Linked DNA regions of Stegostoma tigrinum. The protein of the gene in region 2 interacts with the protein of the main gene of each other region in a pairwise test. Links are inferred from orthologs where the notes say so. Each region holds a gene or a part of one and is shown on either strand. Other genes may lie near its edges.

Evidence for each region.
Region 1: the proteins of dnajb11 (region 2) and ubr1 interact in a two-hybrid assay, tested with the Homo sapiens proteins (2 studies listed by BioGRID and IntAct). The link is inferred for Stegostoma tigrinum from reciprocal best matches to the Homo sapiens genes DNAJB11 and UBR1.

Annotation. Positions count from the first base shown.
Region 1 is NC_081363.1:86,524,381-86,528,301, forward strand, and holds the start of ubr1 (E3 ubiquitin-protein ligase UBR1), read left to right. Parts: upstream 1-1,108; 5' UTR 1,109-1,157; coding exon 1,158-1,241; intron 1,242-3,921. UniProt on the Homo sapiens protein: E3 ubiquitin-protein ligase which is a component of the N-end rule pathway. Recognizes and binds proteins bearing specific N-terminal residues that are destabilizing according to the N-end rule, leading to their ubiquitination and subsequent degradation.
Region 2 is NC_081360.1:29,055,897-29,059,817, reverse strand, and holds the start of dnajb11 (dnaJ homolog subfamily B member 11), read right to left. Parts: upstream 2,821-3,921; 5' UTR 2,643-2,820; coding exon 2,578-2,642; intron 2,313-2,577; coding exon 2,156-2,312; intron 1-2,155. UniProt on the Homo sapiens protein: As a co-chaperone for HSPA5 it is required for proper folding, trafficking or degradation of proteins.

The DNA.
Region 1 (3,921 bases), on a different chromosome or scaffold from region 2:
AGGTGAGGAGTAAGTGGTTTAGAGGAGATCAAGGAGAAAAGAACATCCAGAGAATAGTACAAAATGGAATGTACTGCCTGAGAGGCTAGTGAAGGCAGGTACTCTCAGAACATTTAAGGAACATCTGATAAGCATTTCTGATGAAGGGTCCTGACCTGAAACATCGACTTTCTCGTTCCTCTGATGCTGCCTGACCTGCTGCGTTCCTCCAGCTCCACACTATGTTGACTCTGACTCAAGCATTTGCAGCTCTTGTTGTCTCCAATGAGCACTTAGAATTTCAAGGAAATAGAAGCTATGACCAACTGCAGGGAAACGGGATTACTGTGGCTTGGTGTTCATTGGTTGGCATGGACAAAGTGAGCTGAATGGCTTTTTCTATGCTGTATGATTGTATGACTCTAAATGTAAATAGTGAATATCCAAGCTTTCTACCTCCAGGCTTCAGGAAACAACATCTGTCTCTCCTCTGGCAGGATGCGGGGATCCAGCTTGGATTATTTAGCACCTCAAGACCAACAATTCCAGAGTGAAAGAAAGGCATCCTTGTTCCTGAGGGACTGCTTAATTAAGACAGACAGTGGAAGGTGCACAATTACACTGCCACCCCCCACCACGCAGACAAAATTTGTGAATGAAACTAATTAGTATTTGCAGAAGCCCCAACGCCTGGTGGACATGATGCGTGAGCCAACTTTTAAGACAACCTCCATGAAGCTGGAGTCAGCTGTAACCTTAGAATAAATACAGAATGTTCTGGGACTGAGGTCTGAAAAGGAGCCATATAGGACTCGAAACATTATTACTGTTTCATTCTCCACAGATGCTGCCAGACCTGCTGAGTTTCTCCAGCAATTTGTGTTTTCAGTTCAGATATTCAGGATCCGCAGTATTTGGCTTTTGTCTTAATGTGTTTATAGATGGAAGGTTTGGCTGTTAAAAATGAAAGCAAGATTTTCAACATGTGCCAAATTACAAGCCTTTGCTGATAATTCAACTTTGGTTATTTACCACAAGAAGCAGCTTTCATTCTCGCTCCATCACCACTTCCTCTTCCCCAACTTTGGCAACTGCCATAAAGCATTGCTGGCCTCAGCTGGAAAACTGTCGCTAAGCGGTGGAGATGCGGGACGCTACGCTTGGCGGCAGTGAGGAAGATGGCGGACGAGAACCTGCGGGAGTTGAATGTCGGTGGAGATCCGGGGACCTGGGACGGCTCGGAGTCTGAGCTGGTGGTCCGGGTGAGTGCAGCCTAGGATGGGCCGTTGACACACGCACTGAGGGGCCGGGGGAAGTCTCGGTCTCACTCCCGCTTCTCCCTGGTGCTGCCATAAGGGCTCAGGGCTGTTTAACGGACCGGGGTCCCGAGCGTTGTCCGTCAAGCAAAGATCCGCCGCCTTCCTTTTTTGTTATTGTGTCGACACGGTCCCGTTTGTCCGAGTTTTGTTTACAAACCGCAAAAGCAAGCTGGGTTTAAACCAGTGTGGTCGTGTTGGTATTCCTGCCCCATTGAGTCTCGTGCCTGATCTCAGTTTGTCGGTGTGCCAGGTCGCATGTGAGCCCCGACCCAGTTTTTTGGTTTCCCGCCTGTCGTGTGCTCCTGACCCGTTGGCACGCTCTTATGCCTGCTCAGTTGGTGTGCCTGAGACCTGGTATGTTAGCATGCCAGTGCCCTGGCAAGTTGGCACACTGAGTCTGTTGTGTGCCCATGTCCTGGTTTGTTTGCATGCTTTTGTGCCTGGTCTAATTTTGATAGTTTATCCGGCCTCTTGTCAGTTAGTGTTTATCTGTGCCTCTGTATTAGTTTATTTCCCTTGTATTCATTAAGTTGTGGAGGAATTTCATTAAGAAAAGCTACGAATTTATAAAAATTTACGTCACTTAGAGCTTTCAAGTGACTTACTGTGAGTTGTTTTCTTATTTGAGTTACAAAATATCATATGCTTTGAAAGGGAATGGTACAACAGATACTTTTGCTTTCAATCTGTTAGATTTTAATAAAGAGTGTAATGTTCATGTTTGTTTTTTGTAAATTGGGCCTCATTCTATTAATTGTATAACAGTGAACGTTAATCAAGATTGCCCAAACACACACGCTTGTATCCAAAGTCACGTTGAGTTGCATTAAACTATCAGCCAATTGCTCATTGATTGATGTATATTGACTTTTGATTTGTTAATGCTTACCTGCATTTTAAAAAATCTTCCTTTTCCCCTGGTAATCTCCTCCAGCGCTCAAACTTTCAATTCTACCCTCTTTTAATCACTTCTTTGGTTATATTTCTGTCAAGGTCTTAAACTCTGGAATTCCCGCTTTAAGGATCTCCACATTGTTTTACTTCTCTCGCTCTCGCTCTCTCTTCTTTTATCCTTAAAGTCTTCCTATTTGACCAGGCTGTACATCTTTTGAAATGGCTTAGTGTCAAGATTCTGAAGAACGGTCTAGGCCTGAAACGTCAGCCTTCATGCTCCTCTGATGCTGCTTGGCCTGCTGTGTTCATCCAGCTGTTCACCTTGTTATCTCAGTGTCAAGTTTGATTATGCTTCTGTGAAGCCTCCAGAATCTTCTAACTGCATTAAAGATGCCATATAAGTGCAAGGTTTGTTCATTTATCTGTGAACTAAATCCTCGTAGTGCTATTGATGATTTAAAATTTATATTTAGAAGCAAGGGTGTGTAAGTGAAGTTGACCAGTTCCTGTGCTGGGAAGAAACTGGTGCAGCGATTCATCAAACATGATTAAGATTCTGTTGCACTTATAATTAAAACCAAAAACACAGGCTCTTTCAATCACATTGTGTATATGTTCTCTTATTGTACCAACTTTCCCTTTACTTTCACATTGTAGTCCACAAAATGCTTTTTAATATTACTGACTGAAGTTAGTTGATTTTTTTTATGTTTCCAGAGAAATGCAAGATTTCCAGATGATTTTGCTTCTCTCTTGCCCTACCACACAGGTGATGATGCCTATTATTCCCATGTTGCTTTGTTGTCAAAGCTCAGCTAATTTAGTCCGTTACGGGATTTGTTCTTGTTACTTTACCATTCAACAAGGCTCAGTTCCTTCTGGAATATCTGCATAAATAATTAAGTATTATGTTGTTTTGAAAAAAAAATTAAAACACCAATCCCTGTACACTTTAAAGACGTATTAAACTGTTCAAATTTTTTATGACATTACAAAGCTTTCAGTAACCTATACATCAAGTTGCTATAGTTCCCAGAGCACCATAGCTCATGACACTAAATAAAAAGGCAGCTGATGATGGTTTAACCTGAGGACCACCTTGCCTCGGACAAGAGGTGAGGTCAAGAAGATGGGACCTTCACGGTGACCGGAACCTGTGCAGGAATTGTACCCATGATGTTGGTGTCATTCAGCAATACCAAGGAACTACCTAGCTAAGTGAGCTAAGCGACCTTTGGGTAAAGTGTTTTTGAAAGCTCTATCTGCTCCACTCGAGGAGGCCAAATATGGTGAGGAATCTTTTAAAAGAATAACATGACACACAATGAAGCCCATCAAGAATTCTTATCTGATCTAGCAAGAGTGCAAAGCAATGGTTTTTGTGAGTTTGCTATGAATTTGACCTTTGGGTTGAATATGTTAGTTCTGTCCTATTATATCTTCTCTCTTTGCCACTTTTTTATAATAGGTAGTTAGCTGAAGCCAGTTAAAATTGGTTTGTATTATAGTGCCTCATTTCACACTGGTTTGGATCGCAAACTTTGTATTGCGATAGTTTTTGCTATGGATTGACTCTTGATACACTGGAGTTTGTTTTTAAGGATATTGTTCAGGTGACATCCATGGAGCTGTTTGTTTGAGCTATTGTTGCCTTTCTAAAGAGGATGTTGAAATATCAGGAGTAGGTTATATTGTGATTAACATGTGAGGGGATCTGTATCTTTTATTC
Region 2 (3,921 bases):
TACAAAGTTGTGAAACATTAATTCAATGTAATAGCCAGAGGGTTGAAAATTGCCTAGTCCAGCAACTCCATGCCAGTCAATTTAATCTGTGCTGGTAAAACTGAGGTGATAATGCTGGATAAAATTATTAGTCACTTAAGTAAATACAGGTTAATTAAGGAAATCCAATGTGGATTTGTTAAAGGTAAATCATGTTTAACCAACTTGATAGGAGTTTGAGTGGTATCATAGTGGTGAAGATAATGCTGTTTTTATAGCGTCTATCAACTTCCAAAATATATTTGTTAAAGTGCCACACATTAACCCATGATCAAAGTTAGAACTCATGGAATGAAAGGGACAGTAGCTACATGGGTCCAGAATTGACTGTGACAGGAAACAACAGCTGAATGTTTGTTTTCAGACAGGATGACCACTTAAGAATGACTTCCCCAAGAATTTGTTAGGACACCGACAGTACCTGACAAATTACTAACCTGTATAGGGTAAAACTTCCAAATTTGCAAGTGACAAAGCTTGGAACCATTGTGAACAATGAAGCAGATGGTGTAGGATAGCAAAGTCATATGCATAGTGAAATGGTCAGAAAGGAGAAATATAATGCAGAAGTGGGTGAAATGATTAATTTAGCATGAAGGCAGCAGAGAAACAATACAAAGTAAAAGATGCAAATTTTGAAAAAGAGACCAGGAGCAGAGGGACCAAGTCAATATGTAAGAAAATTCCTAACATGGCAAGGCACATCAAGTGAACAACGAATAAAGGATGGGACATCCTAGGTTTCATTAATGGTCGTAAAGTCAACAAGCAATAAATTTTATTAAACCTCTACAAATACTGGCTCAGCCTCATCTGGACTATTACATCTATTTCTGGGCACCATATTTTCCAGTGAAGAGATTAGAGGGGATGCAGAAAAAATGCCTCCAGGGATGAGAAACTTCCGTTACACAAGGCAGACTGAAGGTCTTCCTCCTTGAAGAGGAGATTAATACAGTTATCCAAAATTTCAGAGTTCAGATAGGGACAAAACAACAATGCAATGATCAAGAACCAGACAAAACAGATTTAAGATATTTGGCAAAAGAAACAATAGCAACACAAGGAGAAACATTCACACAGGTTAGGATCTGGTATGCACTGCCCGAGAGTGGCAAAAGTAGGGTGAATTTTGACTGTCAGGAGGGAATTAGATCATTATCCAGAAAAGAAAATGTTACAGCACTACACGAAAAAGACAGTAGTGGCTCTAGATGAAGTGCTCCTTTGGAAGGCCAGCTGACATGACAGACCAAATGACCTCTTTCTATGCTATAACCATTCCATTATTTTAGAAAGACAGTTCATGAGCTTAATTAAAAAAACAGAAAGCTAAAGATAGATGTTAAACTTGGAGAAAGAACTGAAGTAGCAAGAAATTGGGAGTTCAAGATTACATCTTCAGACAAAAGCAGAGGACTGTTAGCAGAAGTTACCTAAGTGATGTTCAGTTTCCAGACTATAGAAGAGGCCCCAACAAGATCAAGGAATACAGAACTTCATTTGTTTAAAGAATATTGGGATATTCTGTGATCACGGTAGGCCTTTCTTCCTGAAATTTGGAAGAAGTTCACATAAATTGTTGCTCCGAGGGTGTTAAGATTTAGGCAGAAGGTCAGTGAACAATCTTTGCACAAAAGCTTAAGCTTCATAAATAGCTTTAGTCAGTTAAACATACTTGGAGGCCCTCAACTATTAAATGCACTACAAGTGTCCTACCATTCATAAACACGACATGCGTATAAAATAGACAATAAGTATTATTAGGAGAAACACTGATAGTCGTATTGTTTCAGGACATGCAGTTTTAAAGACGTTAAACTAAAAAGTGTACGAGATCTGCAAATGTGTAACTGAAACAATATGTAAATTGAGAATCTTACAGCAGCTGCTCCAGCAGGCTTGGATTATAGTGTGACCTCTCACCCCTTCACCAATAGCCAATGAGCTGAAGCCACACAGTCTCCCAGATTTGTCATCACTATAACTCAGAAGTAAAAAGAAGTGACTGAGACTTCACAAGGAAAGGCCGAAATGTACCTGACGGGTAACCCTCCCTCATACCATTACACTGGTATTGCACACACACTCAGCCTACATTGCCCCTACTCAGTACCTCATAAGCAGCCCCCAAATCCTGGAACTTAGCCTGCGCTGCCGGATCGTCGGGGTTTCTGTCGGGGTGCAACTGCAGTGCCAGTTTGCGATAAGCCTTCTTGATATCCTTCACCGAGGCGCTTTTAGATACCCCCAGAATCTTGTAGAAATCCCGGCTGTCCTCAGACACAAACAAAAAAAAAACACGAGATATGAAGAAAATACACACAACTGAAATAAGACCTTACAGCCCTTTCAGTGACTGATGAACAACGCACTTGGCAAAATTTTGTTTGTTAAAAAACTGAACAAGTTCCCACCCGATGATCACACCGGGGGGTCACTCTAACGCGTTAATACCCATGATATTCATTCAGTGAAGTGAAGGTAGATAGGAAGAGCTGCAGGAACCTGAGCTGGAGATCTCTCCCTCTCACTTACCCTGTCAGAACCTCCCCGCTCAGACACAGCAGCACAATACACACAGAGCGCACACCCGCCGCCATGCTGCACACTTTTCCTCCTTCCCTTCCTTGTTCTTTTTTTTGTTGTTTTGGCTCCGCTGCCCACGTTACTCTCTACGAGCTGGTTAGCGGCAACTACCGGCAGAGGCAACCTAACAGCATCGCCGCTTCCTCATGCCTGACGCTTTCAGGAGGGGCGGAGTCCAAGCTCGTACTCCAACTGCTAGACCTTCTCATTCGTTTGCTATCGTACCGGGAAAGGGGTTGGGCAGAGGAAGAGGAGGGCACGGGGGTATAGTTGTGTGTGTGTGTTCGTGCAGGAAATTATGCACAGAATTCTAATAAGTCAAAAACGGAACTAAAAATAAACAAGGTGGAAAATCTCATTTATATTTTCGCCTTTTTTAAAAAATTGCTTCGTGTTAGGTTTTTAAAGTTGAAACATGTAAGACTGAGTTAAAGTTAAATGATGAAGTGTTATTGCGTTAGAAAATGTACAGTCCTGTGTCAGTTTTTTTTATTTCAAAAGCTTAGTTGCATCACAGTGCTGTCCAAGAAGTGTTTAGGATTCTTCCCGGAAAATGGAAAATACCGTTAGTGGATAAGTGTTTTGAGAGAAGATTGAATAATTATTTGAGGACGAGTAAGATTCTAATTTTGAGTAAAATTGTGTGCGTTGGCAATAATAAGATGATACAGATGGTCATCTTTGGTGGACATGTTCTGTGATTCTAAATAAACTTATTGTTTGATGTCTGCAATTATATATAGCATCTCTAAACTGCCTTGCTACCTTTTCTCCATCTTCAAAAGCATCTCCTCTTGGTCACCTCCATTTAGTTTTCTTAGTACAACCTGGTGAAATATCTTAGGAAATTTTACTAAGCTATAATATTAATGTAAGTTTTTGTTCCTTACCAGATGGATTTTGCTTTTACATAAATGTATTCAAAGATCTTGGATTCATAAAATAAATTATGAAACTTCAAAATAATCCACAATCCATTTTGCCTGTAGGATTGTGATTTGGATCAATTAAGACTCATAAGGAGAAAAAATCTGACTATTGTGAAATAAAAGACTTGTATTTATAAGGCAATTTTTGAGACTTCCTGATATCACAAAGCAATTTGAAGCCCATTAAGTACCTATGAAGTACTGTCACTTCTGTAATTTAGGAAACATTGCAATCAATTTGCACTCAGAAAACTCCCACAAGCGGCAGCAACATAAGCTAGAATGAGGCACTGGCCACTTTAGTGTGCTGTGCCCAACTTGGAGTTTGAGCCCCGTTTGGAAACCTGGGAGCTTCAGCAGTGGC